Linked DNA regions of Drosophila melanogaster. The protein of the gene in region 2 interacts with the protein of the main gene of each other region in a pairwise test. Each region holds a gene or a part of one and is shown on either strand. Other genes may lie near its edges.

Region 1 (3,462 bases), on a different chromosome or scaffold from region 2:
CCGAATTTAATTTACACTGAAAGAAATGGGGAGCCACTTTTCACTATCGGAATTAATGTTAAATACAAATTTATTATTATTATACCCGTTACTCGTAGACCTTTAGATAGTAAAATACACTCACAATAAATGCGGATCCGAATGAGGTTTACACTGAAAGAAAAGGGAGGAACTTTTCCTGTTTTTATTTAAAATTCAGATATATTAATTTAATATTACACCCAGAAACTTACTTATTCATTTTTTTTTTTTCATTTTACTAACATTGATTTGCCAACAGAAAATGTTAAAATTTCTATTTCGTTCGCCCACTAGATGAGTAGTGGGTATCTTATAGTCGAAGAACTCGACTATAGCGTTCTTGTACTTCTAGTAATTTAGCTAATGTGCTGTTTATAGTGTAATAGCTTGATTTATTGACTTATAGATGTAGGTATCTAAGAAAATACTTATGTATTCTAATTCAAGATAACAAGATCCAATTAATATCCAAAAAGTGGACAAATACAGTTCTGTCTTCTTAAACATTAAATCTAAATGTTAAGCCGCCACCCAAATATATTAGTATTCAAACTTAAATACGGAAATACACAATTTACTTGATTTATTTGTTTAATAACAATATTTGTAGTGTAATCAAGCTGTCTATCTGTGAACTCAAAGGCTCTTTAAAGTTTAAACTGTTGACCCAATTGACGGATGGCTCCGCTATTTCCCTCTTTCATTCATTGACTTAGGTCAGTTGATCCGTAGTCATAGCTTTAATAGCGGCAAATTTATATTATTTATTCATTTTTCTGGGCCCTCTCAAAGTCAAGCCTCGCCTTTGGCCAAAATTGGCTGAGCCAAAAAATAACTTCGAGCCATGAAAACATCTGAATTATTTATGGGTATTGACATAAGCATAATTTAATCGCTACGCTTCGCGTTCTTCGCATAAATTCACCAGTCGCGTATAATACGAAACATAACAACATTATTTAGATTTAATTAATTGCTAATTTGAGGAAATTATCATTCATAGTTATGCATGATGAGCCAGAGCCCAGCTGGCGCTTCTCGAGTTACCAGCCCTGAGTGCTAAATGCTACAGGAGGGGGAGCTCCATAAACGGCGGCCGGAGAATGATGAGGTGGTGACCCAAAGTGGAGCTTGTACCTGCCATATGACGGGGCAGCAGCTGCAAACTGATAGCCAGTGGGTGGAGGAGCAAACCGGGCTATGAACTGTGGTGGTGGTGGAGCTGCTGCAGCATAATGAACGGCTGGTGGTGGTGGTGCTGCAAATCCGGTGTAGGTGGTGGTGGTAGTGGTCACTGGAGCTCCAAGGGAGTACTTAATAACTGGCTGTGGTGCCGCATAGGTTGTAGCATATTTAAAGATCGCCGGAGGTGGTGGACCATAGTGATCGACAGCTCCGTACGCAAATCCTTGATGGGCACTAAAGGCCGCTGGCACGGTGACGGTATCGGAAACGGGTACTGCTACTGGAGCAGGTACCGCCACTGGAGATGGAACCGGATATGGAGAAGGCACAGGAACTGGCACTGGGACTGGAACTCCCACGGGAACGCCCACCGTCGATGGTTCATGATGGAAACTTCCAAGCGCTGGAGCACCAAAACACATCAGAACACATATCAAAGGTATCTATATATAAAGATAAACTATTATTTTTCAGTTAAAAGTCACTTTCGATTCACTTGCTTTTGAAATATTTAACATTTTCACCCGTTATGCTTTCTTCCGTTTTCGATTTCCGTATTAAGTCACTTCTCCGCGACACTTTCACACGAAATGAATCGATTTTGGCTGACCATTGCAGGTTTATATATACCACGATCCGAGTTATGCTGATTTAGTGGGTGGAGGAGTAGGTGGAGGAGGAGTGGAGGAGGGGTCTGGAAACTAGAGGAGCCGAAAGGTAAAAACTCCATTAAGGGATCTGCGCACGACGTGCAATCGACAAGCGAATCGTGCGGCAAATGCATGCGACAAGTTTTGCAATGCCCCATCCGCAGGCGAAATTCGGTGGAAGTACGAACCACAAGTCGGTGGTCAAAACTTCAAATGAGGTAATTAAGGTGGAAGGTATAACTTCACACTTTACCGAAAAAAAAAAAATTGTTAACAGTTTAAGAACTCCGAATCAGTAAAGTAAAGATGTGAATGCTTTTGTGACTCCGTTTGAAGTCAAGAAGTCAACCTATCCAATCTTATTTTTTATTAGATTCCAATTCAGAATTGCTGTAGTCGGATAGATGGTGTTAAAATTAATAAGCATATGTATTATTTCAGACATCTTCTAAATAAATTCCTCAGATATAAGATATGCACCTTAACACACCCCTCTCTTCGGATCAACATCTTAAACTCTTCCACCTCAGAAGCCATTATCATGTGCACTTCATTCGCCCAAAGCCATGGATCACATTTACGAATGCACGCGCTACACTGCAGCAACTTTTACTGCCGCCGCCACCAGCTGCAAAAAAGTATAAAATATAAGACAAAAAAAAAAAAAGCAAGCAAGTGGCAAGAGCTGCAAGAAACCCATTGCGATCACGTTCCAGGCACCTTTTTATGCCTTATGACTCTGATTGATGGCCGTTGCCGAAATATAAATGCCAAAATATCACACGCCAGTTAAAAGTCGATTTATTACCGCCGCCAACAAAGCCATTTTCGTTGCTCTCAATTAGCCGTGGAAAAGCCCAAAAGTTGGCCGCGTCTTGTGCATCGCCTCCAAGTCGCCCAAAAGTGGGCAAACGTGTGCATGGAATTGCTACCATAAAATCTGGTCCAGAATCTGTCGTAAACAGGCGAAATTCCCGCACGGGTTGCCAATTAAATTTGGGTTGCCAAATGCGCGACACGCGCTCATCGAAATTGTCAACACAGGAGCAGGACGCTGAAAAAAAAGAATAACAGAGGAAAATCGAGGACGGGAAAGCCGGGGAAATTAGCATAACAAAGTGGCTAAATCAGAAATCGATATGTTCACCTTCGCTGAACCGAAAAAGGGGGCACAGATAGCGGGAATTTCCACGCACGTTTTTCTTTTTGTTTTCCTTTTGTGTTCCAAGTGGAGCACACGCCCAGCTTTTGAGCTGATTCTACTCCTCGAGTGGTTGCTTCGCGTTTTCCCCCATTTTCCATACAAATTTTCCACACATTTTCCGCCGCCGCTGGCAACAGGTGCTCTTGAAACGGAGCCGCATTGTAATGTAATGCGTGCTAAATCGCTGCACGTGTTTGGCAACAACAAGTGCGAATTTGTATCCCCCATCCACCACCAAAATAATACTTTGTTGCAAGCTATTGAAGTTTCAGCTGATTTGATTCACTCAATTGATTGCACACAACCTGTTAGCTGGAAGATATGCTACAAATATTATTCAAATGGTTTTTCGTTTCGAGGAAACCGTTGAATGTATACCAAATCATAAAATTATTTTCGCTC
Region 2 (3,246 bases):
GTTTTCCATTTTTTTTTTTTTTTTGGGAGCGAAAGCAGATGTAAAACTTCTGGCAAAGAAAAAATGCCATGGCAAAAACAAAAAAAAAGAGGGGGAAAAAATATGAATGAGGCAGCCTTCTAGGCAAATGTGTTCAACATGGGGTAACACTGTGGGTGTGCTAGCTGGTTTTTCCACTCTTTGGCTTTGAAAAGGGGGCCAGAAAAAAACAACGCTGGCCAGAAAGTTAAAAGGTGGCCCAGGGGCCCATGCGACACATGGCCGAAGCATATAGAGAAATGTGGGTCGGGAACACGTGGCGGCCATAACTGGTGCCGACTTCATCGATATTTCATTTAACCCTTTAATAAAAGATATGCCCGGCTAACTTACTTCATAACTTGTCGCCGCCTTCGCTCTCCGTGCTCCATTTCGATTTTCCCAGGCGGTTAAGAAGTTTTCGAGAAAAGTTTAAGGAGCCTCCGAATCTAGCCGCTGGCAAATTGAAATTGATTACAAAAGCAAAACAATTGAGCGATATGTATTTTGTGGCGATGAAACGGAGGGGTTGGGAAACAATCCGAAATGTTTATTTATACCAGGCATTTTGGGTTCGATCGGTGCCCATTTGCATAAGCGACCGACCAGCTTATTACACAATTTAATATGGAAATGACGCGGCGCGAACTTGAACCTCATTTTCAACGGCAGTACAGCTCAGCTGGCTTTCAGCTTGTGCTCCGCCGATTTGCGCTGTTTGCGTATGTAGGTCTTGCAGTAGAAGTCGAAGAACATGGAGAACATGAAGATGTTCTGAATGAAGCCGATGAAGGCGATGAACACGGGAAACTGACACGGATTCCGGACAATAACGAGCAGGAAATGAAAGGTGAGGTAGCCAAACTGCATCAGCTGCAGCTGTGTAATCCGCTGCTTCCACCACAAAAGATTCTTCACCGCGCCTAATGAGGCGGCATAGTAGTAGGCATACATCACCGTGTGCACCAGGAGATTGATTATACCCAGCATGCTGCAGTGTGATCCACCCAGGAAGGTCATGAAGATGGACACGCCGAAGACCATGCCGCCATGGTGATACACGTGCAGGAAGCTCACCTGCGAGTTCTTCTTGCGCAGCACTATGAATACCTGGGAATGCATTTGTATATGGGTATAGAAGGTATATAGACGGTATATAGCCCCCAACTAACCGTGTCGAGCAGATCCAGATACTTGAGCATGTAGTACGCATACGAGGCGTACAATGTCTTCATCATGGCCGGTGATCTGTCCGTGTGATCCACTGGCTGGCAGGTCCAACTGTATCCCGGCTGGAGGTAGGTGTTGCTCAGGCCAATGACGAATATCGTGGCATTGGCCAGCACCTGCACCACATTGTACACCTGCATCACACGTTTCAGCTCAAAGGGAGCACGGTTCGCCATCCAACGTGGTCCGTAGTGGAGCACAAAGGCCACATACAGCGCCACAATGGCCAGCACGATCCATAGATTGCCCAGCAGGGGCAAGTGCGCCACTCGGGGATCTCCGTGCTCGGCGTACAGATCCCTGACCAGGCAGTACAGGTAGGCCACCATGTTGTGCCGCATTCTGGATCCTCGATTCAAAAATACTCCCTGCCGAACTGCCGGAAAGCGATTTGCAGTCCACGAGACACGAGGGTCTTCAGTCTTCTGAACGGAACTGCTCGAAAGCACAGTCTATCCAAGCATTCCGGCTGGCTATGTTAATGACCGTTAAATGAGAAGCACCACGCATACCGGATTAACCCGTGTCAGGCGTTGCACTGCCAGAGAGATTCTCGTTCTTTGTCGCCGGTTTATAAACTTGGAACTGCTTTGGGTTTACGCTCAAAAAACACTGAAGGAAAACGGGGCATAAAACCACACTTTCAAGATCAAGTGCCGATCATCTTTTCCATAGTTGAAATTTCTTAAAAGACCTAAGCAATCTCACTATGAAAAGAAATTGGTTATCTCTTTTCTAAAAAAGTTGTGACCAAATTGTGCCACATTTTTTCTTTATCTCTATGAACTTGTGCCTGTCAGGGGGTAAACAGGGTTTAGCTATTACTTGACAATGTATGAGAATTTATGGGCTATAACCAGCCGCTACGGAAACTTTGCTGAGTGGGAAAAAATGATGCTCCAGCGGGCAAATGTTGGTGGCGGTGGGTGGTGCGGGCTGTTAGCTGCGGTCGATGGGTGGTGACATCAATTTGGGTTACTCAACGTTAATCGTTTGGCTCGCAGCTTGCGGCTGCGAGATATATGCAACTAACCCAGTTTACAAAGCATGCCAATAAATTTGCAGCATAACTGCCAATATAAGCGCAACTGTTTTGAAATTAAGCCAAAAGCGAAGTGAAGGAAAAGCGGAAAAATGGCGGTAACGTCAGCTGCAGCATCTAGTATCCGGCATCCCGAATCCAGTTCACCAACATTCACCATCCAGTGACCCACTGAGCGACTCCGCCATGCTTGATAAATTCGCCAAGTCTGTACAATGGCTGTAAATAGCCGCGGGCATCGGACAAATGGCTCTTAAAAACAACAGCAAGAGCAGCGGGAGCTGGAGGAGCTAGATGAACTGGAAGAGGAGCTGGAGATCGCAGTCGAGCCAACTCAGCGAAATAGGCAAAAGTGTTTTACGACCTGGCTTGCAGCGCAAACCGAGGGCCATGCAAAGGAGCAAAGGAGCAAAGTAGCAAAGGAGATGGGCTGCAGGTGGCTAATCAACCTGAAGCAGGTGCAATTTGTTTGCGCAACGTGCAAACTTGGCAAGCATTTTGTGGTCGAAAGTTTACAGTTAAGGAGCTTCAGTTTATTTCGATAAGTAAATGTGCCAATTTATAGAGGAGAATCAATCAAGGATCTGTACGAAAAGTTTACCTTATTGGCTATTAAACAAGGCCAGGTGGGCTAAGTTGGGCGAGGCCATTTCACTTACTTTCACTCGCGTGTCCTTAAGCCGCAAGTGATGCGATATGTGTACAGCCCACACACACACACACACACTCACATGTGAATAAGAGTGTCCTTGGGGCTCCTGCGGTGACCTTGTTGTGCGGCAGACATTGAGCCAGCCAGCGCCAAAACAATCATTTGCATTTCACCTCCCCACGGACAATGTAATGGACGTCAGCTCATTTGCACAAATAAGCCATAACCGTCGCACGTTCCCCTCCGATTGGCGGCCATTTTCGGAGTTACAGGACGACAGGACGATGGGACTTCAGGAGCGAGG
Region 3 (4,799 bases), on a different chromosome or scaffold from region 2:
CTCCATGCTGTGCGGTCTGAAGCAGCTGGATGTCCTGGACCTGTCCAGGAACAAGATCACCGATGTGCCCGCCGATGTGGGCGGACTGTTTGTGACCGAACTGAACCTTAACCAGAACCAAATATCCTCGCTGGCGGAGGAAGTAGCCGATTGTCCCAAGCTGAAGACACTGCGGCTCGAGGAGAACTGCCTTCAGGCAGCGGCCTTTACACCCAAGATCCTCAAGGACTCGAAAATCTGCAACCTGGCCGTCGACGGCAATCTGTTCAACTCGAAACAGTTCACCGATCTCGATGGCTACGATGTCTACATGGAGCGGTATACGGCGGTCAGGAAGAAGATGTTCTAGACTCGATTCAGATCAAATCCCTTTTTTTTTTGTGTGTACCCCAGCCTTTATTTATCCGAGTAAACTAATTTAATAGCTTAATTCAATATGTGTAATGTGTAAAACGATACGAATAAATCGGAAAAAGACAACTTTAACAAGGGCGAGCAAGTAAGTTAGTTTGAAAATGGTAAGTGCAAAATAACAAACAATTGCGAAATCCTATTTCCTTTATTAAAAAAAAATGTTATGATTCAACTTCAATACAAAAATTAGTGAATAACATATACGTATGTAGAAAACAAAAGACCAGCCCCACATCACAGCTTTCCCCGCATCATGGGCAACAAGTGGTTGTGGAAGGACGAGTTGACCGGCTCCTGGTTGATCGGATTTCGGCGTGCCTCCTCCATGAGACGCTCGTACACCCGGCCATCGTGACACCCCAGCGTGGAGCCCAGGACACGATCGTGAAAATCGAATCCATCCACCAGAGCCACCGCATTGGGTCGCAGCTTGGCCAGCAGCTCCTCAAAGCGACGCTCCACGAAGCGCAGTTGGGTGCCAGTGATGCCGTTGTTCCAACGCAGCACGCATCCCGACTGTCGCAGGAATGTATCGATGACGAAAAGCTCAACCAGTTGGCCCAAGATGAGTGAGACATTCGGGCTAAGATCGCCCTTCTTTCGAAGTGCTTCCACTTGCTCCAGTGCATTGCGTGTGAAGAATGCGTGAGCATGGGCTATGGCAGCCGAGGTGAGCTGCCTTCCAGCCAGATTGCTGGCCATCTCGGGACTCACCTTGCCGGATTGGTGCATCTTCTGGGTCTGCCAAGCATCACGCACCTGCTCCATGGCTGAAATCTCCAGCGCTCGCACACAATTCGCAACCAGATTCTTGCCCCAAATCAAACGGGCTGTATCCCTCAAATAGGAGACACTGGAGGGCAGCACCTTGCGTTTTAAGCTATCCGCATACTGCCGGACGAGGAAACGAGCTGTCTGGAGCAGGAGTACTGTGTACTCTCCCTCGTAGGTGTATGTGGCGGCGGTCAGACCATAGATGCTATCGAAATTCGCCGAGGAAAGGAATCCGTGGCCACCGCAACTCTTGCGCAGCAGATCAACTCCCTCGCTGGCCTCGTCGGTGGCCACCGCCTTGAGGCAGCAGCTCAGGGCGTGCAGCTCCGGCAGGGAGTTGCGTCCTTTCGTGCTTTCATCCTCCAGTTGGCGGAGTACGTCCTCGTAGAAGCGCCACAGCCAATCGGATACCAGGCGATAGGACACTCCTCGAGCAATTTGCGGTAGAATCTTTGCCTGCTGTGTGATGTGATCCAAAACAGAGACCTCCGGCTGATCGCTGTTAATCCGGCTCTGGCGACGCACCACGGAATACCTAAAGATAATGATAATTATTATCTAAAGAACCCTGGGTGAGCTGAATGTGTTTTATGGGCTTAATAACAGCTATGATAAACATAATCCCCAGAAACTATATAATCACCTGGTGGCAATGGTGGCAGCCTGGAGCAGTCCAAAGAGCACATCCTTCACGGTAATTACCCGCACATAGACCATTGTGCCGTAGAGCAGCAGCGGAGGTCTACCCTGGACGAAGGTGCCGTCGGTCAGGACTTGGGCGTTCTTCATCAGCATTTGATTGCGCGGTATCCGCACGTCGCGGAGTCCCAGAAAGCCGTTGTTAACGCCATTGCCACCCAGGCGAGGTCCTATATCGCCCACATCGACTCCAGTCAACGGTTCGTGTGTCCTCTCGTCCCTGATCCTCACCACAAATGATTGCAAGCCATAATGCTTGCCCTTCACATATAGCTGGGCCAGCACAATGGCCACATTGGCGGTATTACCAAGTCCGCCGGGCCACCACTTGTATGAACTTTGCGTTGGGGTGTTCAGGATGAATTCCTGCGTGATGGGATCGTAGTCGGCTCGGGTTTCCAGGCCCCGGACAAAGGTGCCGTGACCCAGCTCCGTTTGCGCATAGGTGCCCAGGACGCCGTCCATGTGCCAGGATCGATTGAGCCACTGGGCCTGCTGCTCCTCGGTTCCCTGGCTCAGCAAGGTGGTCATGAACATGGAGAAATGCACCCGAAGGGGGAAGCTCTGCTGGAAGAGGCCCGTGCCCAGGGATCCGGAGAGTAGCAGCCGAAAGTCCCTCAGCATATTCACACTAAGCTGAAGTTGTGGCTGCTTCTCCCGCTGCCATTGGCGCAGTTTGGCCAGGAAGCGTGTGGATCGGGCCACGGTCTGTTCGTAGCGCTCCTTGTATGACAGACAGCTCGGATGCACTGGCTCCGCGAAGTCGGGATCCTCATAGAAACGCCTTTCCAGGGCGCGGCGCTCCTCCAGCTGCCCAGAGCCACCCGCCCACCAGCGGGCAAAGTCCTCGCTGTCCAAGGTGGCCGCCGCCCGCTCTCTCTGCAGATCCGCATTCACAGACATGATCGCTCTATCTCTCCTTCCCGATCTCTCTTTTCCTAGAGTTTTACTTTTCTACGGGATTTCCCAACTTCTCTGCTCGAACGACTCGATTGCACTGAGAAGTTGGTGGCTGGAAGAAACAGTTCTGCAGCTCGAAACATGGCAGCCAGGTCACCAAAGGCGGGGATAGCAGGGGAATATGGTTGGTTATCAGTGATCCGAAATTAAAGATGAGTTGCCAATTAATATACCGGGATTCTTTATACATTTACCACATTATACTCATAAAGGATGCAGTGTATAAGCTATTTATGGATAACTTATACAGAAGAGGCGATCTGGAACCCCTTTGGATGGTCCATCCTGCCTACGCCTTTGGAGCCCCACCACTGCCTCTCTTTCGCGCTCTGCCCGCTGGTGCTCCAACCGCCGTTGTTGCTGCATTGGAGTCACTGAACTGAGAACTGAGCCACTCTCAAATTGCTTGAGCGCCTTAGGGTGGACCATATTCCGTATTTGTCGAAAGTTTCTCAAACTGCGTCTTTCTTACAAGATGCACTTATCATGTTTTAGATTTCGTATCCTAGGTTGTATATTTGGACGGAATTTGTTTCTTACTATTAACTCAAACGCTGATTTGTGTGTTGGTCCACCCTAGCCAAAAATGGCACAAAGTGCGTAAACATCTGATGAGCGGCATTATCTCCTAGTTTTTTAGTTCAAGTTTTTTTTACCGTAGATAAGAAAATCGTAAATATTTCTTGTTGTTTTTGTTTTGCAAAAACCCACAAAGCTCAACAAACAATTATTTCTTTTTCGTACAATAACATTTTTATTTCGTGGATTTCTTGTTATCAACATAACGTTTCTCAATTGGATGACGTTTAGAAAATCTAAGATAACCCTATGGGCCATTGTCAAATTGTTTATAAATAGAAACTAAAAGACATGGAAAGAGCGATTTTATTTATATAAATAAATAAATATATTATTATACATACGAGCTTCTGCAACCTGGATTTTAGGACAAATTCTCAATTTAAATTTCCCGCTCTTCAAGAATGCAACATAAAATATAAAAAAACACTGGCCATTTTAATAACTATAAAGAGTAATTATTATAATATTATTGATGTGCCAAAAATGCAACGTGAATTACAATTTATTTTACAAGAAAACATAAGTTTTGTAATAAAAAAAAGCTTAGGAGTACCCCTATTAAAAAGTTTTCAGCATAAAAGCTCGTCGAATGTGTGACCAATTGTCGGAGTAATTTAGTGGCGCCCGACGAATGGCCACACTGCCGGCCAGCTGATCGCCCGCGTGCAGATTTCTCGACTTTATTTTCCTTATTTGGCTGTTGTTGTTTTGGGCCGCCGGTACCGCTTAGCTTTCTGTCTTCCTCTCTCTCTGTCTTTCTCTCTCGCTCCCACCAACGGCACCGCCATGGGTAAGAACACGAAGCGCAACAAGAAGACAAAACAGCAGCAACAGCAGCCACAACAAAACGGAGTAACTGCATCCGCATCCGGCACAGCAGTCGAGGATTTTGAGGACCAGCAGGCGGCCAGTTCGTTGCCCAGTTTAAACGGCAAAAAGAGGAGCCAACTAAACAAGCTCGTCGAGGAACTGCTTGACTTGGTGGAAAAGCAACCGGCGAATCCCAACGAGGAATGGAAGCAGTACGGGCAGCTACAGGAGCTGCTCAAACAAATCATGATCCTGGAGGAGCCACTCAGCCAAGCAGTGTGTCCGCAGATCAGCGATTCCCCCGACGATCAGACCCGTCTGGCCAAAGTGGAGGCGTTCAGTGCGTGGGCCAAAGATGGCGGAGTTCACAGTGAGGGACTGGAGATAGCCATCTTTCCCGGCTACCAACTGGGTCTGCGGGCCACCCGACCGTTGGCCAAGGATGAGCTGGTGCTCAGCGTGCCCCGGAAGCTCATCTTATCCGAGGAAAACAACTCCGATTGCCGCCTATTTGGCAAAATGACGCAGGCCACCCACTTGAACCTGGCCTATGATCTGGT

Evidence for each region. Proteins that work in one complex are often made in the same cells at the same time.
Region 1: the proteins of CG6660 (region 2) and CG13045 interact in a two-hybrid assay, tested with the Drosophila melanogaster proteins (one large-scale study listed by BioGRID).
Region 3: the proteins of CG6660 (region 2) and CG4586 interact in a two-hybrid assay, tested with the Drosophila melanogaster proteins (one large-scale study listed by BioGRID).

What each region holds. Positions count from the first base shown.
Region 1 is NT_037436.4:16,289,170-16,292,631, forward strand, and holds CG13045 (uncharacterized protein), read right to left. Parts: upstream 1,782-3,462; 5' UTR 1,707-1,781; intron 1,650-1,706; 5' UTR 1,629-1,649; coding exon 1,065-1,628; 3' UTR 543-1,064; downstream 1-542.
Region 2 is NT_033777.3:22,921,802-22,925,047, reverse strand, and holds CG6660 (uncharacterized protein), read right to left. Parts: upstream 1,697-3,246; 5' UTR 1,578-1,696; coding exon 1,191-1,577; intron 1,129-1,190; coding exon 697-1,128; 3' UTR 523-696; downstream 1-522.
Region 3 is NC_004354.4:6,968,009-6,972,807, reverse strand, and holds CG4586 (uncharacterized protein), read right to left. Parts: upstream 2,891-4,799; 5' UTR 2,791-2,890; coding exon 1,832-2,790; intron 1,724-1,831; coding exon 649-1,723; 3' UTR 543-648; downstream 1-542. Other genes in the region: CG3040 (uncharacterized protein), read left to right, coding at 1-349; Setd3 (SET domain containing 3), read left to right, coding at 4,216-4,799.